7 linked regions of the Oryzias latipes genome follow. The protein of the gene in region 5 binds, or shares a complex with, the protein of the main gene of each other region. Links are inferred from orthologs where the notes say so. Each region holds a gene or a part of one and is shown on either strand. Other genes may lie near its edges.

Region 1 (3,500 bases), on a different chromosome or scaffold from region 5:
TACCATCTGAACAGCACCAATCTGGAAACCAGGGAGACCTTAGCCGAGCTCTACAAGGAATACAAAGGAGATCAGCTGCTGGCCTCCACCATGAAGGAGCCGGAGGCCAAGAAAACGGACAAACTAAATGCTGTGAGTAGAACCCTGATAGGAATAAACTCCTCCTGACGTTGTTCTGACACACTTTGTTTTGGCGTAGCGTCAGAGCTTCTTGTTCTTCTCCTCAGAGTTGTTGAATAATTATGAAGCAGATTCTGTTTTTACTGCTGAACAATTGCCTAATGCAGCAGTGACTCAGCCCCTCCCACATGCAGCAGAGATCTCAGCTGTTTTTTTGTTTTTCAAATCCATCATTTCAACTCAGACAAATGAAGCCAATGGCTCAGCTGTTCCTGGTCACATGATAAATACCGTAGGAGCCTTGCTGCCTTTTTGTTTGACTGGAAAACAAGGACAGCAGGTTTTTAATGATGCCAACCTGTTTGGTTTTTCCTCTAATGAAAGCTGCTTCACGGAGCAGAGCTCTGTCAGTAAAATGAACCGTCTGGATCGTTTCACTGTCAGATCAGCTGTTCGTTTTTAGCCAGCAGCTCATGAAAAGTGCCATATCTGCTTCCAACACAAGAGGGAGCCAGACAGACAGGTGTGCAGCTACAGCAGAGTTGGACTGACTGACATGACAGCTAATCAGTCAGACTGGAGCAGCTTTTCTCCTCATTTTGAAGCTTCTTTTTGCTGCTGGGCTGCGTTTGGCACAGAGGTTTCCTGAACATGGCGGTCTGGAGGTGAAGGTGGTCTGAGAGAACAGACACAGCAAATGAGGTGAAGTCTGAGCTTTCACAGCAACTGGAGCAGAAACGTGTAAAGTCTGTGGCTCCACGTTCATTTTCTGCTCACTGAGCTGTCGGCTTTGCTCAAACGCCGTGTCAACAAATGTGCACGCGAGGACGAGAGGGCCGCAAATCCTCAGCGCTGCAGCGAAGAGGCGTGCCTCCAGGTTTACATCCATCATGTTAAATCAAAACGTTGAGTTCATGAAAGCCTCTCTTGCCTTTAATGTCCTTTTAGTTTGTCGGCATTTTAAAACCATCAGCTTTTCTTCAATGAATAGTTGATCGTTTCTCTGAAAACCAGGTTTTCTGATGTTCAAGGAGTCAACAAATGTATGTTTTTATTATCAATATTGCAGTTATTCAGGGGGGTATTCCAGGAAGCATGTTTAAACTCCCCTGACTTTAAGCCTGAACTCTGGCTGAAATCTGCCTGAACTTGCTTACTCTGGGTATGTCGGTTCCCAAAGACCGGATATGAGTTGGTGTAATTACGCTCCACTTGGTAACCCTGGGTTAATGCACGTGCACAGCAGGTACATAAAGACATTCTCAATAGATCGCCGATTTCTGGAGTCACCATGGAAACGCGTGGAGAAAAAAAGAGAACGCTATACTTCAGTGAGACGGAGTCTGAGATTAATGACGGCGTATGAAGATTATACGACCATCAAAAAAGTGACACGGCTGCATCATCAGCAAAAGAAAGTTTCTGCTTGGAGAAAAAGAACAGACAAAGTAAACGCACGAGTTTCTGATCTTATTTCCATTTTCCTTGTGACGCATATATATATAACTTATCCAATTTTGCCACCTTAAATGAAATACTTCTATTGGTAACAAATAATTGAGTTAAATTTAATCAACCTAATTTCTTACGTCTATAAAACTCAATAATTGTTTTTACAACTCAAATTTATGTATTTATCTAACTAAATGTCATATTACTCCAATTCAATTAATATTTTTCCATCTTAATTAATTATATTTCTTGATCTCTCATATGTCTAAGTATGAGCCGGCAGATATGTTCATTTTTATAACAATAAAAAGGACGGGAAAGAAATGCACATTGTGCACAAATTCATTAAAGAATTGTCCGTCTTTGTCATTACAATATGTAACGGTAGGGGTGCTCTATAAACTCATCATCCTCTCCTTCACTCTCACTCATGGTGCAGAGACATAAGCACAGTGGGACAAAATAACTCGGCAAAACAGCTAAACAACTAAACACATTTGGTCAAAAAGCCACACTTAAACCCAAATCCGTCCAGATAGGCAAAAGGAATGGTATCCCACAATCCCTTGCGGTGCCGGTCTAACAGCAGCACCAAAGTTAAACCTACTTAATTGAATTAATTTGAATGAAAGTAAAATGACTGTCTGAAAACTACGTGTTATTTTTAAACTGACTTAACAAACAAAGGATTTATCTTAACTGAAGCAAATAACTAAGTTAGATCAAAGTAAAAAAGTTTCTCTTTCCAACATCCATATGTGGTCTTATCCCCCTCTCATGGTGGAAAAAGTATTATCTGAGCTTCTTCATCCACTAAATCATCTTCAAATGGACACGCCATGCTGCTTCACCTCTCTGAAAACAAACTAACCTTCAACTAAACCTGCTCCAGACCAGGTTATGTTCAGAGCATGAGTTGCTATGGCAACTTGACATACCCTGAAACATACCTCTGTTTTTGGAACTGAAAGCTGAGGTTATCAACTTCCTTAGCCTCAAACTTACCGTGAGAGCTAGCATAACCTACTGTCTGGAATACCCCCCTGGAAACCGGCTCTAAGGTTTTCAGTAACGCTTTCCTTTACAGTACAGTCCTTACAGTGTACTTAAGCGGTATTTACATGGTACTTTTTGTGTAACTACTGGGTACTTACAGTGTTTACATGTGTACTTTTTATGGAATTTACTGGTTACTTACTTGGTACTTTTACAATGGTACTTTTTGGTTGATTGTTGTTCGTGTGTTCATATTTTGTTTGTAGTTCGCCAGCTGTTCACCTGCTGTTCGTTTGTTGTTTGTTTGTTTGTTGTTCATTCGTTTGTTGTTCATTTGTTGTTAGTTTTTTGTTTTTAGCTTGTTGTTTGTTTGTTGCCTGTTAGCTTGTTGTTTTCCTGTTAGCTTGTTGTTTGCCTGTTAGCTTGTTTGTTTGTTTTTAGCTTGTTGTTTGTTTGTTTGTTTGTTGTTTTCCTGTTAGCTTGTTGTTTGCCTGTTAGCTTGTTGTTTGTTTGTTTGTTGTTTGCCTGTTAGCTTGTTGTTTGTTGTTAGCTTGTTGTTTGGTTGTTTGTTGTTTTCCTGTTAGCTTGTTGTTTGCCTGTTAGCTTGTTGTTTGTTTGTTTGTTGTTTGCCTGTTAGCTTGTTTGTTTGTTTGTTTTTAGCTTGTTGTTTGGTTGTTGTTTTTCTGTTAGCTTGTTGTTTGCCTGTTAGCTTGTTGGTTGTTGTGAGCTTGTTGTTTGTTTGTTTGTTGTTTGCCTGTTAGCTTGTTTGTTTGTTTGTTTTTAGCTTGTTTGGTTGTTGTTAGCTTGTTTGTTTGTTGTTTTCCTGTTAGCTAGTTGTTTGCCTGTTAGCTTATTGTTTGTTGTTAGCTTGTTGCTTGTTTGTTGTTTTCCTGTTAGCTTGTTGTTTGCCTGTTAGCTTGTTGTTTGCCTGT
Region 2 (4,257 bases), on a different chromosome or scaffold from region 5:
CCAGCTGTCAGACATCATACAGAAAAGTCAAAACCTCAAACCTTCTCTTCATTTTTCTACCAAATTAAAGATTTGTTAGATTTTACGTTCATTCTGTGGCGCCCTCTGCTGGATTAAACAGTAAACTACTCATAACGTTTAGTTTAAAGATCAGCTCTGATCATCTTAAGATCTAGTGTCAAAGCCTTCCCAGTGGTTCTAATTATGATTACCCAGTTTGTTGTTGTGGCGAAACTGTTGGTACAGAGCAACCCCGCCCCCCTTTCCCTCGGAGCAGGGAGCTTGTTGCCCGCCCACCATATTTTCAACGTCACAAATACGATCTTAATCAAAAGGCATTTTGTCTTCTGCTCCTGATTCATTCTTCATACGTGTTCTCCATCATGAGAAAGATGCCACAAGAATATTAAAAAAAAAAAAGATCTTATGGATTTCTTTGCTGTTTCCCAAATAACCAAATGCAAATTTTCTGTTCTTTTCTACAAATGTTAAAAGATTAACCTTTAATTCCAGCACCCAAGTTTTCATCTAAATACTTATATTTTTCTGTCATTTTTTAACTAATATTTAACCTGAGAAAATTCACTCGACAAAGAATCTACTTTGGAATTTCAGGAAATTAAACATTTTAAAAACAAGTCCAGATATAAGACTTTTTTCTGAAGAGCTTAGAAAAGCGTAAGAAAAGATGTTACTGTTATGGTGGCGTGTCACAGTTTGGTAAAAACCCATTCCATCTGAGGATTTCTGCAACAATCATGTACTTTTCCTGCCGTTTATCACTTTTTTTCTACAAACTAAACAAGTAAAATGTTTATGGTAATTTCCTCTGAGTAAAACACAACAAATGTATTTCTTTTAAAATCTCATAATAAAAGATGACAAAGTTAAACAACAACCTTCATCTAAACAACAAGAGTTTCTTAGCAAAGGTCAAATTTCATGAAATCTAAATATACAAAGAATTATGTAAAATATGGAGAAGCAACACCGGTTTGGTGTGAGAGCTTTAAGGGTCTGAAATCTCAATTTTTTAAACAGATTTCTTTTATTCTACATGTGCTGCTATCTAAACAATAGAACAAAATGGTTTGATATGTTTTGGTAAGAAAAGTTGTTCCAGATTTAGAAATGCTAGCCAACTTTCATGCAGTATCAGGCCGCTGCAGCGACTGACTTACAGACTTAATTGCTCAGTGAAGGACAAAAAAGCTAAATTTGGAACATTTTTAGTTGTGATTACTACGGATAACCCTGATCAAAAAATGAGCATCACAGATAAATACTTAAAAAAAATAAGTGTTTAGAGTTGTTTTGACTTATTTACTGTTTAAATAACAATGTGAGACAACATTTATGATTTGGTTTGAATGACTTCATTGGTTCAGAGAAATGTTTTGTTATTTGTGCCCAGAATAATCTTATTGTGAAAAACCAGAAGTGTTTTCATTTAGAAACTGTATTGAGTTTGTTTTTGACTCTTGGATGAAGCGGAAAGTTCCTGATCAATAATTGCTGAACAGGATCGTTTAGCAAACTCAAAAAAGCCTCCGTCATCTTTGCAGAGGCTGTCACTATGCGACAGGAGCCATTTGACCTTTTTTTAAACGACTTTTTTTTATTAAAATGTTATATGATAGGATAGTTAGAATTTTTGAAAAAAATTGTAAACTGGTACAAGAAAAGCTGCTAATTGGTTTTCCACCAACAGTCGTCTAAGTTAATGCTCAGAATAGAAGACTGAAAACACTGTTGGTCATTTAGAAACATGTATAATAATAACAAACTGAGTACGATAAAAACACTCTTGACTAATTTAAAATAGATTGAATAAATAATTGCATTTACTTTTGAGTAGTTTGCCTCTGTGTTGCAGCTGCATTTTAAAATCCCAGAATAAACCCTGATATAGTTGTGAATGAAGCTAGAGTTGCTTTTACCTGCATGTTCATGTATCCGTCCACAGACACCAGGTAGCCTTTGTACTCCATTCCCCACTTCAGCTTCACCATCACTGGTTTCCCTGTCAGGCCGTTCAGGAAAGGCTTTGGGTTGAGGGGCAAACTCTGCGGCAGAGGGGATTGAAACCTTACATCAAGTCTGCAAACATGACGCTTTTCCCTATGAGATATTTAGAACTTTAAGTATGCGGGTTATTCATGTTATGGACAGTCTCCACGTCTGATTTCTTTACACCACCAATCATCAACAGGAGCGACTGAAGAACCAATCTGGACTGCATTAAAAAAATAAATTGAATAATTGGGAAACAGTACATAAATTCGGTTTTGGAGCAGTTTAATTATTCAAATGACCTATATACTTCTATTAATCTGTTGTATAATGTTCGACCACACTACTACCTGCAGAGGAACGTCATAGTTTTGTGTTGTTCCGACGGACGTTCATTTTCTGATACGGCAACACGTTACCCAAAACAAACAACACTTTAGTAAAAGCTCACTTGAATATCTAACCGTTTCATTTTTAAAGTTTTGTTTTTAGTGTAAGTTTGTTTTCCCCTACGAGCTGTGTAAACCAGTTATGAATGGGATGCTAACATGGCTAGCATAAACGAGCTAACTCTCTTAAATTCTTTGTTTTAACAAACTTCAATAAACCCAAAGGCCGTGTGAAATTACATATTTGAAGAGTTACTCACCATTTTGCTCGATTAAGTTTAGACCCGATTAACAGTAAATTAGAAGTTTATTATGTCTTCGTCACAAAAACGTTTTAGCTTCACAAACTAGAAGCACGCTTTGCCGCCGACAGGAAACGGAAGTGGCATCGAGCTTTTCGCCGCGCCTCACGTCGCCCCCTGGCGTTCTGGATGTATTAGTGCAACAAAAAGACTCGGACTATATTCTGATCACATTCCAGTGCATCTGCTTTATAAAGTCATAATAAAATAATCATAAATAAAATCAGTTTACAAAATGACACAACATCATTCACACAATTAGTAAACAACAAAAAATAAACAAACTATGAAAAAAAACATAAATAAACTATTTTATAACAATGAGACAAGACCAAATGTCAAAAAATAAATAAATAAGTGAAATTAAAAATGATTTATAATCAGATAATATAAAACCCAATGGAATTATAGAATTGTTGTCATCAGCTCCAGGCTGCTGACAACATGTGCTGACGAACTCTCACATTCTGCTGTTTATTTGAAAGGCTTGCATTACCGAGCTTTAATGTAAGAAAATGATTTTAGTTTTGTAAATGTTTCATTTGAGCCTGGAGCTGGAGAAGATGCCAAAACTGTGGATGACATCTCACCATACAGGCACTCACACTCTGTATCAACGCCAGGTAGATTTCACGTTTGCTACAGAGGAATCATGGTGCGAGGCGGTTACCAAGGAGGCAATGGCTAAGTAAGTAAGCTGAGAAGTGTTTATGACATATAGATTGTTGGGAAAACAGTGCGAGAATCAATGTGTGAGTTGGTGGGTCTCATCTTCAGAAGATAGATAGATAGATAGATAGATAGATAGATAGATAGATAGATAGATAGATAGATAGATAGATAGATAGATAGATAGATAGATAGATAGATAGATAGATAGATAGATAGATAGATAGATAGATAGATAGATAGATAGATAGATAGATAGATAGATAGATAGATAGATAGATAGATAGATAGATAGATAGATAGATAGATAGATAGATAGATAGATAGATAGATAGATAGATAGATAGATAGATAGATAGATAGATAGATAGATAGGGTTGGTTTCCCTTTTGGCTTTTCCCATCAGGGGTCGCCACAGCGAACGAGTCGCATGGTAAACTTGGCAATGTTTTACGCCGGATGCCCTTCCTGACGCAACCTTCTCAAAGCAACCGGGCTTGGGACCGGCACAGAAGTAGAGAAGGGAACAGGGAGCAGCCCGGAGTCGAACCCTGGTTTCACGGACGGAAGGCGCCGCAAACCAGCACGAGCTAAACCAGCTCCCTATATATCTATATATATATATATATAAAATTTAAAAAAACGCCCCTCTCACCCTCCGTGGGTGCTTTCTCCTCCAAGCTCGGGTCCTCTACCAGAGGCCCGGGAGCTTGAGGGTCCTGCGCAGTATCTTAGCTGTTCCTAGCACTGCGCTTTTCTGTACTGAGAGGTCTGAGGTCTTTCCAGGTATCTGTTGTAACCACTCCTCCAGCTTGGGGGTTACTGCCCCAAGTGCTCCAATTACCACAGGCACCACTGTCACCTTCACTTTCCAGGCTTTCTCC
Region 3 (3,176 bases), on a different chromosome or scaffold from region 5:
ATATTTTCAATCATTTTTGTTTTGTTTTCTTTCAGATATGTGGATTATCCCATTTATGACGTTCTCCAGATGGTGGGCAAAGCAAACAGACCCATGCTGGATGATGAAGGACGATGCGTCATTATGTGTCAGGGCTCTAAGAAGGTAAACATTAGTGGTTTTATTGTTTGTTTTAATCCATTTAGGATTGGAGTAATTATTGCACAACAGTATTCTTCTAATCTAATACTATATGGATTCTTCTTAAAGGACTTCTTCAAGAAGTTCCTGTATGAGCCCTTGCCTGTGGAGTCTCACTTGGATCACTGTCTCCACGACCACTTCAACGCAGAGATCGTTACCAAGACGATCGAGAACAAGCAGGATGCCGTGGATTACCTAACCTGGACGTTCCTCTACAGGCGGATGACGCAGAACCCCAACTACTACAACCTGCAGGGTGGGCAGCATCCCTCCGAGAGGAACATCAGATTATACTGAGGCCGTCACAAGATTGTTAGTTTTAAGAGTCGTGTGTTTTCTCTCGATGTCAGGCATGTCCCATCGTCACCTGTCTGACCACCTGTCAGAGCTGGTGGAAAACACGCTGCACGACCTTGAGCAGTCCAAATGCATCAGCATTGAGGATGAAATGGATGTGGCACCACTCAATTTGGGCATGATTGCTGCCTACTACTACATCAACTACACCACCATCGGTTTGTAGCAACCGTTGCTTCTCTGTGTTGGTTAAAGCCGTGTCCTGAACGCTGAGCATCACGCTGTAACTTTGCTCTTATGTCTGGCAGAGTTGTTTAGCATGTCTCTGAACGCAAAGACGAAGATCCGCGGGTTAATTGAAATCATCTCCAATGCTGCTGAGTATAAAAACATTCCCATCAGGCACCACGAGGACACACTTCTTCGACAGGTAAGCAGACTCCACAGTGGGAATCCATCATCTTTCATTTTTGTTGCAGCACAAAGTCTAACCGTTTATTTGACATTAAATTGTGGATCTAATTTTACATTAAAGCTGGCACAGAAAGTTCCCCACAAGCTCAACAACCCGAAGTTCAACGATCCCCACGTGAAGACGAATTTGCTGCTGCAAGCTCATCTCTCCAGGATGCAGCTGAGCGCAGAGCTGCAGTCAGACACTGAAGAGATCCTGAGCAAGGTTCACGTTTGAAATGCTTCTCTCCTCCCTCTTCTGTGAATGTGTGTGTAAAGCTGATCCCACTGTGTGTTTGCTGCATGCAGGCGATCCGCCTCATCCAGGCCTGCGTGGACGTGCTGTCTAGTAACGGCTGGCTCAGTCCTGCGCTGGCTGCCATGGAGCTGGCCCAGATGGTCACCCAGGCTATGTGGTCCAAGGACTCCTACCTGAAACAGCTGCCCTACTTCACCTCAGAGCACATCAAGCGTTGTACTGACAAGGTGTTTCGCATCGTCTGACTGCTGCTTTTGTCTTCTGTCAAAGCTCGCACATTTAAACTGAAAAGTTAAACCTGTGTGTTTTGTCTCCAGGGTGTGGAGAGTATATTTGACATAATGGAAATGGAGGATGAAGACCGAAGCGGCTTGCTGCAGCTCACAGACGCTCAGATGGCAGACGTGGCTCGCTTCTGTAACCGTTACCCCAACATCGAGCTCGCGTATGAAGTGGTAGAAAGGGATAACATAAAGAGGTTAGTGTGCAGTCCAATCAAGAACTATTCAAAACAATGATGCATTTTTGGATCAGATTTACATCAGCACTGCCCTCTGGATAAAATTTGGTCTGTGTTTTCTTCAGTGGCAGTCCAGTTCTGGTTCAGGTTCAGCTGGAGCGTGAGGAGGAGGTGACTGGCCCTGTCGTCGCTCCCCTTTTCCCTCAGGTCAGTTGAGTGGCTGTCCACTTCCCTATAGGTGTTTCCTACATTTGCTTCATCGTTTGATCGTCTCATCGTTGCAGAAACGTGAGGAGGGCTGGTGGGTTGTGATCGGAGACCCGAAGTCGAACAGCCTGATCTCAATCAAGAGGCTGACTCTGCAACAAAAAGCGAAGGTGAGCCGCTGCTTTGAACACTCCCTAACCAAAAATACGCAAACTACCACAGTTTTCATTTTTGGTTCTTCTGTGTAGGTCAAGCTGGACTTTGTGGCACCAGCGATGGGCATTCACAACTACACGCTGTACTTCATGAGCGACGCTTACATGGGCTGTGATCAGGAGTACAAGTTCAGTGTGGACGTGAAGGAGGCAGACAGCGACAGCGATTCAGATTAAGCTGGAAATTCAAATTCTACATTTTTAATCCTTTTTTTTTTTTCAATAAATAATGGGATCAGGTTTTATATGTAGATATTTACCCCGATCAATCTCTGAGAGTGACCCTGTCAGTTCTCTGTGGGTGTTATAACATGTTTTCGTAGTCAGTACAATCGTTTTATCCTGTATGTTAAACAGCTTTTCAGAAGTTTTGTGTTCTTTACGTTGACCATTGATGTACTTTTCACAAAATTATTCAAAGATAAGTCTAAGACATCTTAAACTGCCGTTGAACAGCTGAGTCTCATCCACATTGCATGTTTAAATAGATTAGACTTTCCATTTTACTTTGGTTAAACGTCATAAGATTTTTTGGATTGGTTAAACCGTTTAATCATTCATGCTGTCTGTTTGTTTTTTGCAATAAAAACATCTGAAAATTGTTTTATAGTTTTATTATGAAACAATTAGTTCTTAGTCTGGCCCCTTTTATGCTACAAGCTCATGTCACTACAGCACTTAATGGATATTGACAAGATTGTTCTTGATCCCCTCCCTTTATCCCTATATATATCCCCACACCTGAAATGTCTGAATAAGCTTGCAAAAATGTCTTTTGGTAATGGAAATAACTGCACTGAATGAACTTGTTTTCAAGTTTGGTAGTTGGGTTTAACCCTTGTGCTATCGTAGACGACTCCCCCCCCCCTTACATTGACGTGTTCTCCCTACCATGATAAAGGTGGAAAGATTTCATGTAATTTATGGATACCAGAGAAGATTACAAATCATTGGAGAAAAAAGGTTCAGAGCACTTTCTAGTGGGTCTAGATGACCCCACTCCCAATGTTAGGATAGCACAAGGGTTAAATTAACAGTGCAAGCCAGTTGGTGAGCTTTGACTACTGATAGTGGTGTTGTGCTATCCTAGGCACTTTACCAT
Region 4 (3,610 bases), on a different chromosome or scaffold from region 5:
TTTAGAAAAATTGGTAACCCTTTGTTTTAGTGTCAAGCAGCTAATGTTTTTAATTTTAAAATACCTTAAATTTTTTTCCTTTCAACGTGGAAACTTTTAAACTTGATAGAGCTCAAGAATAAACAAACTGAATCCAACTTTTTAATATTTTATGAACAAATACTTGCCTGCTAGTTTATAACAAGTTTGCCAGCTCATGAATGGAAATTACGCATATCTTAAATATTCAGCTGACTTTAGGTCTATCAAATTATTAAAATAGTTCAGCATTTATGTCTTCATCACCAGCATTCCCAACATTGTTTAGCCATTATAGCTTTTTAACAGCTAAGCTATAAAAAAAGCTTTCGAATTCCTTAAGATAAGACTAACCCTAACATTTAAGATATTCTTTTTTTGTTTAGCAGCTCATCCTCCATTACAAAAACACTAAATTCTTGCTGCATCTACAGGAAAGAACACATACAGTAACATTTCGTAAAACCAAACAAATGCACGGATAAAAAGAAAAATAGTTTATTAACAAACAAACATCTCAAAACCAACAGACTTTCATTGTGAATGAACTACAATGGAATGAGAAAACAGGAGGCGCCGCTGTGCTCTGCTCATACTCGCTCCAAAGCCTCCAACATGATGATGCTGTTTCCTCGGATGACCTTCGGGAAGACAAAAGGAAAACAGATCAGATCTTTTCACGTTTACACATTTATTTTTACACAATTGTGTGTTGAATAAGAGAAATGTTCTAGTTTGGGAAAAACTACTAAACCCTTTCCTGAGGCTGTCACATCAGGAAAAACCACGAACCTGCCAACGTTTGGTTTCACAGATATTCACTGGAACAGGCAATTGTTATTTGTTCTTCCGTAAAGACAGGTCAGTTTTGTTTCAGATAAACTAATTAGACATCTTTGGAAAAGCTGGAGTATTGGGGGGGGGGGGGGGGGGGGGGGGGGGCAGTATAATATATTTAAGAGAGATTTTCAGTAGGCATTGAGGCTCCCCTGTTGGTCTGGATGTATTTATTTTAAGTAGTAATGAACTTTTGGCTACACATAAAAATGTGGAAATGTTTTCCAGTAACCCTGCTTTATTTGCAGCTAGTCACGTGGATCAGGTGGATTTCATCAAGCAGAATCTGCAGCTTCCCGATCTAGAAAACCAGTAGCAACTAGAATACAGATGCCTGGAAAACAAACGAGGAAGTCTGTCTTATCAATATAATGTTATATTTACAAGAGAAAGTGGATAGAATAGGTTCTTTGACTAAAGAATTTTGAATAAACTTCGAAACAAAATTTGTTTTTGTAGAAAAAATTAAAAATTAGTTGCCGGAAATGATCAAAACCACTAAATGACCAACTGGGATTGCTTTAATTTATTTACTTTGACATGTTCTTGTGGCATTTTTCTGATGAGGACATATATTTAAAAAAAATATGCTTAAAATTGCTTTTCTGCGTATTTCTTTATTCAAAATGTAGTGAATTAAAAGGAGTTAAAAAAAAAGTAATTAAAACAAAAAAAGTGTATTTGTGAGGTAGAAAATTTTCTTTATCAAAAAGATGATTTTTAGAACATTTACATTTTTGTTACTAACTAGCAGACCCCTAACATATTTTATTGGTTCATATTTCTTTATAGGATTGTCTGGTTTGTTAGGAAAACAGTTGTGCATGTTTTTATAAATCTATGTAGACAGCACTCAAATTGGTTCAAATTGTCAAAAGATGGAATTGCTAATAAAGATAAAAATAAATAAAGAGTATGATCTTTAATTGAACCTATTCGTCCTGCTATTACGGGTGGGGTAAAACATTGAATTAAACTATTCCCTCATGCTTCACAGTTCTGCTCGGACACTGACCACCATCCCGATGGTGTTCTGCTGTCCCCCGGGGCCCATCTCCAGACAGTCGTCCATCACCAGGTTCATGAAGGGGTCGAACCCTCGCAGGATGCCCTGGACGTGTCTGCCTCCATTCAGCTTCACTGAAGAAAACAAAAAGAGCAAACTGATGAACATGAAGGCTGCTAGCTTAGCTAAAAGCGAATTTAATTTCACAAGAAAAAGCCGGCGAATGAATAGAAATATAGTGTAATTTTGAAATATGTATTAAATAATGAAACGAGAGTTTTAACTCACGGGAAAGCTTTTTGTCCATGAATCTGAAAGACAAAAACATTATTTAGATTTAGCTTCAATTCCTAGCTGTTCCGGCTAACGGTGGCTAACATGGAAACATACTACAATCTCGCGAAAAAGACCGAAGCTATCAGGCCTATCATCTTTCAAAAACTTGCAAACTTACTTCTTTAGCTCTGGTGGATGCGCTTTGCTCATGGTGTCTGTATTTTAACGAAACAAAGTCGTGTTTCAATTCACAAAACCGCGTAGGAAACGCGTGTGGACCGGGAGACCGGAAGTAAAACCCTGTGACCTTTGCTGTGCTGCGCCCTCGTGCGGCTGGGAGGAGTAATCTGGTTTAAAAAGGGATCAGCCAAAGGCAAATAATACTATTTGCAGTTAGAAAATGACCAAAACAACTATAAAAATACATGCACATGAAGTGTGTGATATATTTTATATATATATATATATATATATATATATATATATATATATATATATATATATATATATATATATATATATATATATATATAGAAAACCTTAAAAAACTCATTGTATTAATAGATTTTTATTTGTGCAAAAGCACAGCTGATTAGTTTTATTTTTTTTTGGTTGAACATCTGAGCTGTAATGATCAAAAGCAAAAATAAAATCAAACATACATTTAAAAAATGCGACAGTTTGTTTTACTTTTTCCTTTACAAAGGAAGATTGTGAAAAATTCCCAAAACATTTTTCAAACTTTAAATCATCACAGTGACACTGAAAAGAGCCGCTGAAAATAACTTTAGAGAAACAAAACTTTGAGGCGGCTGCTTTTGTTTGCATAGAAAGGAGATACAATCCACGTTTCCTGCTATCAATAAAGACATCAAAAACGTTTTTTATGAAGCAAAGGTTTATAGGAATTCATGCTAGACCCTCAGAAAAATGGAAATCTCATAAATTCGCACTCACTAAAAAAACAAATGGCTGAGATTCAACCCAAAATCTACCAAAGAGAACAGCCAGCCATTCAAGAGGATGTTAGCATCCATTACTTCATATTTCCTCACTAACATGACCTGAGCTACCTTAACTTTAAGAGGTTATGGGAACATTTTGAAACTATGATAAATTTGATAAACTATGATTTTTACTTTTACAAGCAATTTTAAAGAAAAAAGAAAAACAGCTTCATTCATCCTCAGTAGGATGTTGTTAGCAAGTTACCATGGTGATGTGCTCATGGAAAGCTGTCCTGACAAAAAATAAAATGTAAGAATTAATAATTATATATTTGCTGATTATTTGGAAGAAAACAGCACAATTTGACAAAACACATTCAGTGTATTAAAGACATAAATGATGATGTTAATCAGTGCTTTCCCTCTCCAGGAAGTTTAAGTTTTGATGGGAAAATAGCTTTTGAATCTGCCAGGCGTTGATTCAAATTGTAACAACTTTATTAACAAACAGAAAGCAGAAGGCATC
Region 5 (4,173 bases):
CTCAGCAGCTGCTCAGCTGTAATCTGCACATCTGCTGGGGCTTTGTTCTTCACCTAAAACGCAAAACACAGTCTTTACAAATGTTGCATATTCCCAGGTATCCTTATTTAAAATACATTATCAGTGGAAACATGTACATATAAGGTTTAATAACCGTGCTTTGCTAGTAAACTCCAAAATAAATACACATATTTCATTAAATACTTAATGATAAAAATAATAATAAATTGGACTTTTTTCGGTGTGTTCCAGAAGCTCAAAGCTCTTACAATGTGTCCATTGTTCATTCACTCCTCATACTTGGTGATGGTAGCTACTGTTGTAGCCACAGCCGCCCTGGGGCAGAATGACAGAGGCGTGTCGGCCAGGTCGTACCTAAGGCCCCTTTGACCATCACCGAGACATTCATACACATTATACCATGGTCCGGTTGAATACTCGATTCTGATTGGCTGCTGGGTATGCGTTAAAACCTGATAACCGCACGGTGAAAAAGAAGTTCCGGTCGGCTAGCTTAAATGATTTGTATCACTGCGCCGGCTTCTGTATAACAACCTTTTGCTTCATCATCGGGGCAAAAACAAGCGGTAAGAGGTGAACTTTCCCTCTGAATTGATGCTTTATTCAACCCATCGGGACGATCAGCATATATATTTATCGCCGAATCTTAACTGCAGCGGTGGTGCTGCGCGACGCGGACTATATGTTACGTGATGCGGCGCGATGCGCCGCATCACGTAACATATAGTACGCTGTTTATGAGAAAAGTGATACAAATCGAAAAAAAAAACAAGAATTAAGGACTAAAACCTGGTTAATATGTATTGCTTTTGTAAGTGACCATGGTATAAGCGGGTTAATGGCCTTCGAAGTGTGCGGTTACTACTTTTTAACGCACTTCGCGGAAGCAGGCTTCCACGGCGTGCGTTAAAAAGTAGTAACCGCACACTTCGTCGGCCATTAACCCTTACTTCACACACCAGTGGAGCAACACTGGAGGCAGGGAGGGTGAAGTGTCTTGCCCAAGGACACAATGCAACAAGTTTTAAGTGAGTTTCAGCATTTGGCAAAAAAACAGGAAATGGAAAAATGTGTTAATTTCAGTTCACCTCTGCAGTAAGTGTCAGCAATTCAATTCTCTAACTTTACCTAATTTAAAGTGAAAGAAATAGACAATCATAGACAAGTGAAAGAAATGTAAACCTGCTATAACTTGCTTGTGGTCACTGCACTGAAGGTTATGGCAAGCGTTGTTTGAATGGAGGTAAATATTTATCTGGTAAATTAAAGGAGACAAACCGAAGCGGCATAAATGGAAACCTTCAGCTTCGATTAACTAAGTTACGTAGTAATTTCGTTGAAAATATGTTCTTGCATTTGAAAAAAAGAGAAGCAAAAAGTGTATTTTTAAGACCATAGATTCCTTTTCAGTTTGCATTGCAGTGTCAATACAATAAGTACATTTTTGTTGTTGTTTTTTTATTGTTTTTACATGATCAAATCTTGGAAAGAAAAGTTGCTTAAATCACGACAGAGTTGCAACATTGCAGATTGAACATGTAGTTATCACAGTCCATAGAACATTTTACACAAAAATAAATAAATGCCAGGTTCATTATAAATATAAGTACAGTAAACTAGTTACTGGATGATAATGGTGAATGCTATACGTATGTGAGTTCTTTAGGCAAATCCAATATTGTTCCTTAAACAGGTTTTAAAATGAGTATTATGTCTATTCTACATCAAATAATACAACTTAAAATAAATGCCATAGTGTCACTTTAAGTTCAAGGAATAAGTCTAATTGAAAAAAGTGTATGTAAAAACACTTTGGGAAACAATCTGTTAGCAAAAACCTATATTAATGTAAATAATATTAAACGATTTATCTTCTAAATTATCCTTAAATATCACCCAGTAAAAAAAAAAAAAAACGCAATATATTTGTTGTTTCTCCCAAATGTATGGAATAAGTGCTCTTTCTGCCAGCGCCATGGTGAATATATTAGGCAAACATGTCTTTGTACATTGTCATGTTTTAATATTTCTGGCCTGATATAGTACACATATCTAAAGTAATGCCTGGGGAAATTGTTTTATTATCTCAACATAAAATATTTGTATTTCATAATTGTGTTTTCCAGTCAAACAACATATTCAACATGATAATAATTCTTGCAAAAACATTATAACTACAAGATGAAATTGATTTAAAAAAAAGGTTCCCCTTCTGTACAATTGTTTAAAAAATGATTTATAATTTTCTGTTTTGGAAAATGAATAAAGATTCGTCGCAAATTATTAAAACAATTAGCATATTGTTACATTTTAATTTAACTAAGCAGGTCACCATGTTGTTACTCTCTTTGTTAGAACTTTCAGAATAGTGTTAAATAAGTTTAGTTTTGAAAATTGTTCATTATAGTTTCTTATTGTAAAAATGTGAAAACGTTGTTGTTGCATTGTTACACATGTATTACACACTTTTTTTTTTAATGATTAAATAAAAAGCCAGCAATACTAAAAATGGGTGCCTTTGGGGGGAAAATGATTATTAGCATTAGCTTAGCGAAGCTGTTAAGAGAGCTTTGCTATTTCGTTCTCACTTACCTTAGCCACCTTTGGTATCCGCTGTTTTCCAGCAGCAGTAGAGGCCATATTGACTACTTAGCAAGTCAACAGTTTACGTTAAAATGCCAAGTTCAATTTCTAAAATGGTATACTGGTTAGTGACAACAACAAAATCGTTTGCTCGCTTGTTGCTCGGTGTGAGCGCCCATGACAGTACCCACAATTCATTTCTTTCTTTTAGCTTCCGGTTCCAACCTAGAAGTTCACGCCCGCTGTCGGCACCACGTGGACTGGAGTGTACAACGCAGAGAAGATCACGACATAGAATGCATTCTTATTAATGTTTAAAGAGAAATATTCTGAGTAACTTTATACAGATGCGTTTGCTTTTATCATCTGATTCTGAGTAAGAAAAATGTTGCTTTTTAGCTCTTTTGTGAATTGCACTTAGACCATTTTTTTATTATTTTGACATTTACAACAGAGTGATGATGTTTTTACCACTCAATAATTATAATAAATAAATAAATATTTTTTTTTTTGTAACCACTGTTTAGAATCTTAATTTGCTGATATCTTGAATATCTGACCAAGTGTCTGCAAATAGGTAATTTTGCAAAAACGTTTTATGTTAAATAGGAAAAAAAGCCAAGTTATTTTTTCCCTTGACAAATAACTTTATTTATTTATTTGTTTTCGTTTGTTTGTTTGTTTATTGTCCTTTGATAACCCACAATGCATTGGGCTACAAATGGTTCTACCCGCGCGGCGTCAGTTGCTGTGACAACTGCCCTTGAAAAAAAAAAAAAAAAAAAAAAACTTTCGGAGCTACTCTGTCATTCCACAGTTATTGAACAGTAAGTTGCAGCTAGTATGTGGATTGCTTTATCTAAAACAAGGAGTTAGTAAACCTTGTAGAAGAAAAAAAAGAAGAAGCTATTTTTACTCGTTTTTTGCTTATATCGCGACTTTTTTTCCCGGTTTTCTCCTGCTCTCACTAGATGATCATCATGAAATCTGAAACTTTAAACTGTCTAGCTGAGGACGCAAGCCGTCAAACTATCGTTGTAGGAGGTGGATCAGCAGACATTGAGTGGATTGAGAGCCTAACAACCTCCACAAGTCCAATTTTTGGAAGAGTCAACGTTGTTCAACTTGAGTAGGTCAATTGTATTTTAAAAACAAAAAATCTACAGACTTGTAGCCTATGGTGTCTTTGACATTTAATCCCATACAGTCAGTGTTTAAAGACCATGGTAATTTGAAAGAAAGAGTAAACATGTATTTGCTTTTGATGATAAATTATTAACTTAAGTTATTTATTTTTATAAAATAATTTTGCTTTTTTTTGTCTTTTGGGATCTTCCTTGTAGAGACAAAGCCAGCTTCGCCCTGACAGTGGTCAATGAAAACCAGGACATTGTGGCCCATGCTGTCTTCGTCGATCATCCCATTGGAGACTTGGTGGATCAGGCCCAGTGGGAACAGTTTCTGCACAAACACTTCAGCTCCCCACAATGCACAGTTTGCGTCACTTATTTAATCATCTCTTTAAACATAAATGTTTTAAAAAAGACTAATTATGTTGCGGTTCTGTCT
Region 6 (4,288 bases), on a different chromosome or scaffold from region 5:
TAAATCCCTTTGTGCATTTGACCAATCGGATGGAGCCCTTTTATGTTAGATGCTCGCCTCATAGGTAGACGAGGGTCATTTGGAGTGTAAATAATTGAAACTATTTACATTTTACGAAACCCTTGTGATATCTTAGATGACCCCACCCTTACATCGACGTGTTCTCCCTACCATGACAAATGTGGATAAAGGTGGAAAGATGTCATGTAATCCATTGACACCAGTGAAGATCACAAATCATTGAAGAAAAAAGGTTTAGCGCACTGTCTAGTGGGTCTAGATGACCCAACTCCCAACGTTAAAATGTCTAGGATAGCACAAGGGTTAACCCTTGTTGTTGTAAAATTAAAATGCAGCTGTTTTTGCTATTTGTTGATATGTAGCAAGTATATTGTCATCGCAATATTGATCACCAATGTTGCAAATTTTCCTCATATCATGCCGCCCAAGTCAGGACTAAAGGGAGGAGAGCCAAACACTCACACGAAGGCAGAACTTCTGTAGATTTTTTTTATTTCAATAAAAGACACCTGAATTATCCAGACTAAGAAAGCCACAAACTTAGGCTTCCATGAGGTTTGGTATTTCTGCTGATTAGTGACAGTTGGTAGAAACGTATTCCTCCCATGAAAGCAGGATAACTTGGGTTTCTATATGTCTTTTTTTTTTAAATCTAATACGACTACAGACAAACTTTCCCTCATTTTTCCTTTGATGAGTATCTGACCTTTTCAGTTGGTGTCCAACATTTGAAAGGAATTATTTTCTGTCTAGTAAAACACATCTTTACCATTTTTCCATGAGAACAAATATACTCATTTTGCTGGAAGCCTGTTTTGAGCAAATTTCAAATTACTTTTATAAATGTACTTGTGCTTAAAAACATACAAAAACCATCTTAATATTCAGATTCTGATCCAGTGAAGACATGAGTCCTGTGCAAACTCCAGCTGCAAATGAGAGGAGGTGCAAGACCTGGACAAGCAGCTTAATTTTCCTCTCTTCATAACCAACTTTAGGGTGGATTTTGTTCAAAGGAAATCCTCCAGATCGGTTCAACATCTGCTGAAAACACCAGAAATTAAACAATCATAAAACCAAAACGGTCACTGTTTGTTTCCACTTGACTGTGAAGCAAAGTCTTTAGTCTTTGGGTAGTGGGATCCCAACAGCCATCTGCTGTCCCTGCATCTGCTGCTCGGCCTGCCTGACCTGATCCTTGGTGCAGCAGTCCTGCAGGAACACAGCAGCTAGGTTGTGCAGCCGGGGACTCTCAGCAAGAGAGAAACGCAGCATGCACTGCAAGATGCCTGGCTCTGTGAGCTGAGATTGTGAAGCTGGAGTCACAAGGTTCATAAGGGTAGTAATTGCTGATAGCACTGTCTCCTCCCTCTGGTTTGACAGACAGTTTGTGATTAAGCTGATGCCGTCACTGTCCAGGATGAGGTCCCTGCAGTCTGGGTCCATACTGAGGTTACAGAGCCCACCTGAGAAAATTTAGACCAAAAAAAATGTTTTTCACTGCATTTATGGTACAAAAAAACCCAAATGATAATCTAAAAAGATTCACCCATTCCAAACTCAATAAAGTTCTCGTTCTTCTCAGTCAACATATCCAGAAACAGGTCGGTCACTTGCAGCTGTCGCAGATACTCTGTGTTCTTTGGGTCGTAAGCAAAGTTGGCGAGGTTTGCCAAAACCTGCTCCTTTGCCTCTAACGACAACAGAACATAAATAAAAAACACAGAATCAGATTCAAATTCAATTAAATTACATATACTGGACATTAATGACTGAAACGGGAACAAGGACCAAAAGCAAGATAAATTTAATCCACCAGAGGGCGCTTTTTTACACCTCAACATTAAAAATAAGACTAAAGACCTGCATTCCTAAAAAATTATTGACGGACAATAATATGTAGTTTGATCCTTTATATATTGCATATAAAAGGCTGCAAAAGTCTATCAGCATAAATCATTAAATGGCATTTGTTAAATTTTGGTTTTATTGATTTTTAAAAAACGTCATTATGCATTTTTAATTTAGTATTCAAACATGATCGTCAGAATTACTAAAGCATAATTATTTAAAAAAAAAAATCTTAAAAGATAAATGCATTGTTTTTTTCCTGAATAATCTGTCCTGTTTCTAAGCATTCAGATTTTAAAAATTAAATTTTTGTAGTTTATATATATATATATATAATAAAATAAATAAAAATAAAAAAATAATTATATATATATATATATATATATATATATATATATATATATATATATATATATATATATATATATATATATATATATATATAAAGTGACTATCATGGATTGATATAAGTAAGACATGCTTTCATTACAATGTTTATGCATTAACAATTTAATTTCAAAGAATTTGTTGTAAACTAGCAATAATTCTTAGTTTTTCTAAATGAATCTGCGAGCTATTTGTGTTTTTACCTTCACTGTCACTATCCTGAAACTCTGTGACAAGAGCCTGTAAATATTCAAACCGGTCAGAGGTTTCGGGTGAAAAGTTCCGTTTCATCATTCAGTATCTTATATTGTGTTTTTAAGAAGACAAACGCGCGATTAAAACAAAAAAATAAAATACATTTGAAATAGTATCCTCATTTATGCATTTGGTTTCAGTAGTTCGTTCATTTTGTCCGTCTTTCAAATACGTCCGGCTTAAATTAGAATTTGGACAGTGGTTCCGGGATATTGTTTCGTGACTCTTTTTTTTTCTTCTTCTGAAGACTGGATGAACTGTTAACGCAACAGAATAACAATTAAAAATGAAACCCAAAAGTAGAATTAAGCTGTTCTTACATAAAAAAGAGCTGTCAATTTATTTTATCACTTAAAACGTTGTGATTTTTAATAATTAGGCCTATAATGTTTCGGTAATAAATCACTTTGATTTAATTTAATTAAATGATTACTTTTTGTCATAGACGATAAAAGCAAATTACTTTACGAAATTCAATTCTCAAACGGAAGTCGGTACTTCTTTGTCGACATAGACGTCAGTGCTGGACCGGAAGTTGAGGCGCTCCAACGTCCCTTCAGCTAACTAACTCACGCGCAGGAAGGTCAGCTGAAAACAAACTCACGTTTCTGTTGCTGTTTGGATTCTATGCCGTGAACCTTCTGATTTAAAGTTCTGCAGCAATGAAGCCTCACAAGCTCTCTGCAGCTAAAAGGCTCACGAAACCTATTCTGTTCGGGAGCATCATTGTTGGACTTGCCACTGTTTACATAAACAGGTGATCTATTTTCTTATTTTGTATAAAACAATAGGAAAGTTATAACGCAAATATAGACTTTAGTCTATATATTCAGAATATTTTTTTATGTGTTTAACGTTGGAGATTGTTGTCCTTGCGTAATGACGCTGACGTTTGATTGTAATCAAGTTTAAGAAAAACACTGAAAACATGTCTGTACTGTCCTTAAGTACAAATTAACATTGGAGCCAAACCATAATTTCATTAACAGGAAATTTTGTCTTTAAATATCTTTAGTAATAGGAAAAATACAACTATTTTTATTTTGTAGCCCTTTTTATTTCCAAAGCAAGGCATCACAGACACATACTCTTTCTTTGCACCACAAAAAATACTAACATTTAATTATATAAGTGTAAGACTGCAGGTAACAGCATTTTTAATTTATAATTAGTAATCATTTGTAATGAGACACTAATGTTTTTAATTAGTAGATTATTTAGCATAATTTCAGTTTTTGACCAGTATCTTCTACAACCTGGAGTGCAATTACTATTTAAAATAAATTAAAGAAATCTAAATAAATGTCTTTGTAAAATATATCTTTAAAATAAGAATCTTTTTTGTAAAACATATTGTGTTATTGGAAGTGGGGGGCTTTTTCACTTCACAAATTTCTCTTTTCTACATTGGTGTCACGTTTTTGACACTTAGTGCAGCTGCTTTTATCAGATTACATTTTTTAAATTTTTTTTAAATTTTTTTGTGTGAAATCTGCTCTGGTTTAGTTGGTGTACTGCTGCAGAGATTCCTTTTCTAAAAAAAAGTTTTAAAAAGAATTTGAGCTGCAGATTGTGCTTTTCCAAACCAGGTTACTGTCTTAAAGAGAGCCCATTTTTGCATTTTGTGGTTTAAAATGCAGCTTATTTTTGTGTCCTGTGTTTGTATTTTTCTGTCTTGCAGACACAGGTTCTTTGAAGATGTGGATGAACTTCGGGCCCAGGAGCGCGCTCGCAATGACGCCAAGAGGGGAGAGGTCATGGAGAGGCGGCAGAG
Region 7 (4,004 bases), on a different chromosome or scaffold from region 5:
GACAAATGAATCCCTTTCAGGTCTGACAGAACAGGGATCGACAGAGACTTCTTCAGGAAAATAGAGTCGTTGGTGTAAAGCCTATTTGCTCTCTTGATTTGTTCCATCTGGAAGACAGAAGAATGTTGTTGTTTTTTTTTTAAACTAACAAATGTCAGAATCAAAAAAAATTATGTCATAACATAAAACCAATGAATAGATTTTACTTTTAGTGTGGAAACAAAAGATGTTCCTTGTTAATATTTCAAATTGTTTTAATTGTCTAAAGTAGGGAGTACAAATCTGGTTTATTATACTTACAGAGACTCCATACTTCAGGGCCAGACCTTGGAGCGTGTCTCCGGACTGAACCGTGTGTTCAACGTGTCTCTGGCGGACCGGAGACGCCGGCGACGATCGCATCAAGCTGCCGTACGACATAGCTCGGCTTCCGCGAAGAAGACCGCCTCTCCCGGATGGCAAAGCCGCTCGTTGTCCGGACATATCCGATAATTATTTATGTGAAAATCATCAGTAACACGTACGCAATTTTAATGTTGGAACTGGTTTGACGTCGTCCTAAACTAGCAAGCCCAGTTCACCTGCTAGCTGCTAAAGTATCGACTAATTCATCTTCTTCTTGCCAAAGTGCCGAAATGGCACTGCCTGAACCTTATCAACAGTCGGGAATTGAAGAAAAACTACTTAAAACACCTTAAACATAGCTTAACTGTCAGTAAACAATCTAAAAACATATCTAAAAACTTTAAATATGTTGTTTTTTTCAGTCAGCTGCAGTCTGTTGCCATGGCTGCCGCTGTGAATGACGGCTCTCATTGGGTGGGTTGTGTTCAAAGTAATTTGAATACTGAAATTTAAATGAAAACATAACATTTTTATTTTTTTTATTTTAATCAGAGTTTGTTTAGTATGAATTAAAATTTCATTGATTAAAATAGGCAGTTTTTTTCCCCTTCGCGATTTATTTACAAAAAATATGTGATGTTATAAACATTTCACATCGATGCTTTCTTAAGAGTACATGCAAACAAATCAATTTAAATGTAAAATAATATTTTAACAATGGTTTGTTAGACTAGTTAACTTGACCATAAATAAATGAAATGGTACGATGGGAAACTGCAACGTGGTTAGCTGGAAATCGTGGACAAAAAAAGTGTACATGTTTGTCCCTGAATGCAGCACTACCAACACTTCCGGGATAGTGTGACGTATAGAGAAGCTAGCCCAATGAGTTAACTCATTGAGCTAGCCGTTAATCTGGTGTTTATACCATTGATTTACTTCGATATAATTATGTCATTCAAAAGGGAAGGAAATGATGGGAGCCAACTTAATATTTTAAAGGTATTTAAAATGATATAATACATTGTATTCATAAAAGAATAGGCTTTCTTAAAGTTCATACGCTGTCGTTTTTTATTTGTTTTGCTAGCTTAGCTAGTAGCAAGTTTCATATGGATATAATGTACACAGAGTAAATGAAAACTGTTTGGTAAAGTATTTAATGTAAATTTTTCATCTGCTATGAAATACTTACTGATGATTTGGGCTGTTGGTTTACAGAAACGGCGTGTATCTGACCTTTTGTCCAATTTTATTCCGGAAGATGAAGCTGCTCTTCTGAGTAATGGCAGGTGAATATAACTAAACCCTAAGTGTCAGTTTTGTTGTGAAAGTAACTCACCTTTCTGCGTTCGCTCCACACAGGTACACGTGCCTTGTGTGTTCGTATCGCCCAGTGTTTGACACAGTTGACATGTTGACAGTCCACAGGCAAGGGAAGAAGCATTTAGAAGGTAAATATCCTCCTTAAAAAGTGACTCTTAGTGTGGAAAATTTTTAAATTCCCCAGTATAAAAGTGTCTTGGTGGTCATATTTAGATGTAGACAAAACACTGTAGGCTCATTTCTCTCAGATAGTGTTTGCACATTTGGCCCCAAACAGATCTTCTGTGTTGTTGATGTAACAGGTGTGTCATATTAAGGCACTAATGACAGGAGGTGTGAGCATCATTCGCCTGACGTTCGTTGTTTTCCGACATTAATGCTACATAACAGAGTATTGGTAGAAAATGGATGTAAATGTCACTCCAGAATGGGTGTGACATGTAAATATGTCATATATGTTTTCTTATTTTTTAAATAAAGTTTTATTATGCATGTGCTTTTGGTGCATGCTTTTATATCCGTTGTGTTTTTTTGTTTTGTGTTTTAGGTTTAAAATCCTTTTATGGGAAAAAGTCAAAGTTCAAGAATGAAATTGCAAAAAGAAAACATGAAGATTATGTCAGAGCAGAAGACAAAGAGGTTTGGAGCTTCAACTTGATCATTTTACCTGCGGGTAATTTTGTATTTTGACCGACCGACCGACCGACCGACCGACCGACCGACGTACCGACCGACCGACCGACCGACGTACCGACCGACCGACGTACCGACCGACCGACCGACCGACCGACCGACCGACCGACCATCACACGAAACAATGACATGATGACCGACCGACCGACCATCACACGAAACAATGACATGATGACCGACCGACCGACCATCACACGAAACAATGACATGATGACCGACCGACCGACCATCACACGAAACAATGACATGATGACCGTGTGATGACCGACCGACCGACCGACCGACCGACCGTTTTTACAGAGACGACTAAATACTTAGTGTTATTGTGGTTAAATTTTTATTGTTGCTGAATTATAGTACTTTATTGACTTGTTTTGGAATGACAGTTGTAGAAAGGATGCACCTCCTGTACTCCTGTAAAGATATTATGTCGCTGCTTGTAACATGTTAAATATGGATATAAGAATAAGTCGTATTCTTGTGTGACATCCAGTACGTGCTTGTGGCTGCCACGTGACTCAGACAACCTGTAGACTCTGCAGCGTGAGTTGAAGCGGGTGTCTGCTGGTGGAAAACATGAGCAGAGCCGGCCAGAGGACACATGGAGCATTTAGCTGAGTTGGAGTCTGTCAGAGCTCAGTCTGAGAGACAAGTCTCTTTTGTTGTGATTGCAGGAGCCCTCCAGTTCGGCACCTTTACTGGCACAGACCCGGAAACTTACCCATCATGCTCTTCTGAAGACTGTTCCATACAACAGCTGCCACAGAAAAACCAGGTTGGTCATCATTTAAGGTTAAAATACTCATCTGTAGTTTAAAATGGAAGTAAAGATGTGAACATATATCTGTTTATTTATTTATTTTCAGTACAAAGTTGAATAAAGGACAGTCGAGCACTGCTGGAAACACATTTCAACACAATTTCCCATCTGCATGTTGGAAACCAGAAGTTTCTGACAATGCATCCACAAGTGATTCTAGTGATTGTTTCACAGGTAAAATCTGCTCCTAGAAATCATATTTTGATATTTTATTTAAAATAACTGATGGTTCTGTTTCAACTGATGCTTTTATTTTTATTTTTGTAGAGTCTTGTTCATCCAAAGACAGAATTCAGTGTCAGTCTGAGTCGAGACAAACGGCAGAACTCATAACGCCGCAGAGGCGAAGAGAGATGGAGCACTACCTCAAACTGAAAAGGTGCAAAACTCTCTTTTCCTTTTTGTCACCAGTGCTAGATTGAATCTGCAGGCCACAGAAACTATGTTTTAGAAACTCTTAGCTTAACAGTCCAAGCAGTAAACTGATAAAATGAGTGAAGTCCTCTGCCTCAGGCTCCACACCCAGCTCCTCTCCAGCATCTTCACATGCGGCCCGTTGAAATTATTCTGCTTCCTTGATTTGTTCTCTCACTCATTTATTTGTGTTTGCACCATTTCTGTACATTGTGATTTATAGGGTAACAAATATATGGGATGTACACAAGACTTGACATTTTAAAACATCTGCGTCCAATCCTGACATAAACAAATGGCACGCCTATCAACAAATAAAGTAATAAATCCACCAAATCTTAACAAAGTTCTTCAATAAACGTATGGAAGGTTGAGATAATAAATTCATAATTGTGAAAGTTTATCA

Evidence for each region.
Region 1: crnkl1 (region 5) and ppil2 share a complex: the UniProt entries of both Homo sapiens proteins name them as parts of the minor spliceosome. The link is inferred for Oryzias latipes from reciprocal best matches to the Homo sapiens genes CRNKL1 and PPIL2.
Region 2: crnkl1 (region 5) and snrpf share a complex: the UniProt entries of both Homo sapiens proteins name them as parts of the minor spliceosome. The link is inferred for Oryzias latipes from reciprocal best matches to the Homo sapiens genes CRNKL1 and SNRPF.
Region 3: crnkl1 (region 5) and snrnp200 share a complex: the UniProt entries of both Homo sapiens proteins name them as parts of the minor spliceosome. The link is inferred for Oryzias latipes from reciprocal best matches to the Homo sapiens genes CRNKL1 and SNRNP200.
Region 4: crnkl1 (region 5) and snrpg share a complex: the UniProt entries of both Homo sapiens proteins name them as parts of the minor spliceosome. The link is inferred for Oryzias latipes from reciprocal best matches to the Homo sapiens genes CRNKL1 and SNRPG.
Region 6: crnkl1 (region 5) and armc7 share a complex: the UniProt entries of both Homo sapiens proteins name them as parts of the minor spliceosome. The link is inferred for Oryzias latipes from reciprocal best matches to the Homo sapiens genes CRNKL1 and ARMC7.
Region 7: crnkl1 (region 5) and scnm1 share a complex: the UniProt entries of both Homo sapiens proteins name them as parts of the minor spliceosome. The link is inferred for Oryzias latipes from reciprocal best matches to the Homo sapiens genes CRNKL1 and SCNM1.

The regions. Positions count from the first base shown.
Region 1 is NC_019867.2:618,824-622,323, forward strand, and holds part of ppil2 (peptidyl-prolyl cis-trans isomerase-like 2), read left to right. Parts: coding exon 1-132; intron 133-3,500. UniProt on the Homo sapiens protein: Has a ubiquitin-protein ligase activity acting as an E3 ubiquitin protein ligase or as an ubiquitin-ubiquitin ligase promoting elongation of ubiquitin chains on substrates.
Region 2 is NC_019881.2:20,375,325-20,379,581, forward strand, and holds the start of snrpf (small nuclear ribonucleoprotein F), read right to left. Parts: upstream 2,801-4,257; 5' UTR 2,666-2,800; coding exon 2,663-2,665; intron 2,067-2,662; coding exon 1,941-2,066; intron 5-1,940; coding exon 1-4. UniProt on the Homo sapiens protein: Plays a role in pre-mRNA splicing as a core component of the spliceosomal U1, U2, U4 and U5 small nuclear ribonucleoproteins (snRNPs), the building blocks of the spliceosome.
Region 3 is NC_019867.2:18,366,173-18,369,348, reverse strand, and holds the end of snrnp200 (U5 small nuclear ribonucleoprotein 200 kDa helicase), read left to right. Parts: intron 1-35; coding exon 36-144; intron 145-249; coding exon 250-439; intron 440-533; coding exon 534-698; intron 699-788; coding exon 789-910; intron 911-1,015; coding exon 1,016-1,159; intron 1,160-1,242; coding exon 1,243-1,419; intron 1,420-1,509; coding exon 1,510-1,670; intron 1,671-1,777; coding exon 1,778-1,859; intron 1,860-1,936; coding exon 1,937-2,029; intron 2,030-2,107; coding exon 2,108-2,251; 3' UTR 2,252-2,676; downstream 2,677-3,176. UniProt on the Homo sapiens protein: Catalyzes the ATP-dependent unwinding of U4/U6 RNA duplices, an essential step in the assembly of a catalytically active spliceosome. Plays a role in pre-mRNA splicing as a core component of precatalytic, catalytic and postcatalytic spliceosomal complexes.
Region 4 is NC_019865.2:4,866,768-4,870,377, forward strand, and holds snrpg (small nuclear ribonucleoprotein G), read right to left. Parts: upstream 2,462-3,610; 5' UTR 2,348-2,461; coding exon 2,316-2,347; intron 2,173-2,315; coding exon 2,150-2,172; intron 1,996-2,149; coding exon 1,871-1,995; intron 660-1,870; coding exon 609-659; 3' UTR 501-608; downstream 1-500. UniProt on the Homo sapiens protein: Plays a role in pre-mRNA splicing as a core component of the spliceosomal U1, U2, U4 and U5 small nuclear ribonucleoproteins (snRNPs), the building blocks of the spliceosome.
Region 5 is NC_019882.2:16,307,262-16,311,434, reverse strand, and holds the start of crnkl1 (crooked neck-like protein 1), read right to left. Parts: upstream 2,801-4,173; 5' UTR 2,662-2,800; coding exon 2,614-2,661; intron 54-2,613; coding exon 1-53. Other genes in the region: cfap61 (cilia- and flagella-associated protein 61), read left to right, coding at 3,576-3,733, 3,948-4,098. UniProt on the Homo sapiens protein: Involved in pre-mRNA splicing process. As a component of the minor spliceosome, involved in the splicing of U12-type introns in pre-mRNAs.
Region 6 is NC_019877.2:19,372,906-19,377,193, reverse strand, and holds armc7 (armadillo repeat-containing protein 7), read right to left. Parts: upstream 2,801-4,288; 5' UTR 2,554-2,800; coding exon 2,463-2,553; intron 1,715-2,462; coding exon 1,571-1,714; intron 1,488-1,570; coding exon 1,144-1,487; 3' UTR 497-1,143; downstream 1-496. UniProt on the Homo sapiens protein: As a component of the minor spliceosome, involved in the splicing of U12-type introns in pre-mRNAs.
Region 7 is NC_019874.2:27,122,062-27,126,065, reverse strand, and holds the start of scnm1 (sodium channel modifier 1), read left to right. Parts: upstream 1-1,204; 5' UTR 1,205-1,296; coding exon 1,297-1,347; intron 1,348-1,566; coding exon 1,567-1,637; intron 1,638-1,710; coding exon 1,711-1,799; intron 1,800-2,218; coding exon 2,219-2,310; intron 2,311-3,038; coding exon 3,039-3,139; intron 3,140-3,230; coding exon 3,231-3,358; intron 3,359-3,451; coding exon 3,452-3,563; intron 3,564-4,004. Other genes in the region: lysmd1 (lysM and putative peptidoglycan-binding domain-containing protein 1), read right to left, coding at 1-107, 301-483. UniProt on the Homo sapiens protein: As a component of the minor spliceosome, involved in the splicing of U12-type introns in pre-mRNAs. Plays a role in the regulation of primary cilia length and Hedgehog signaling.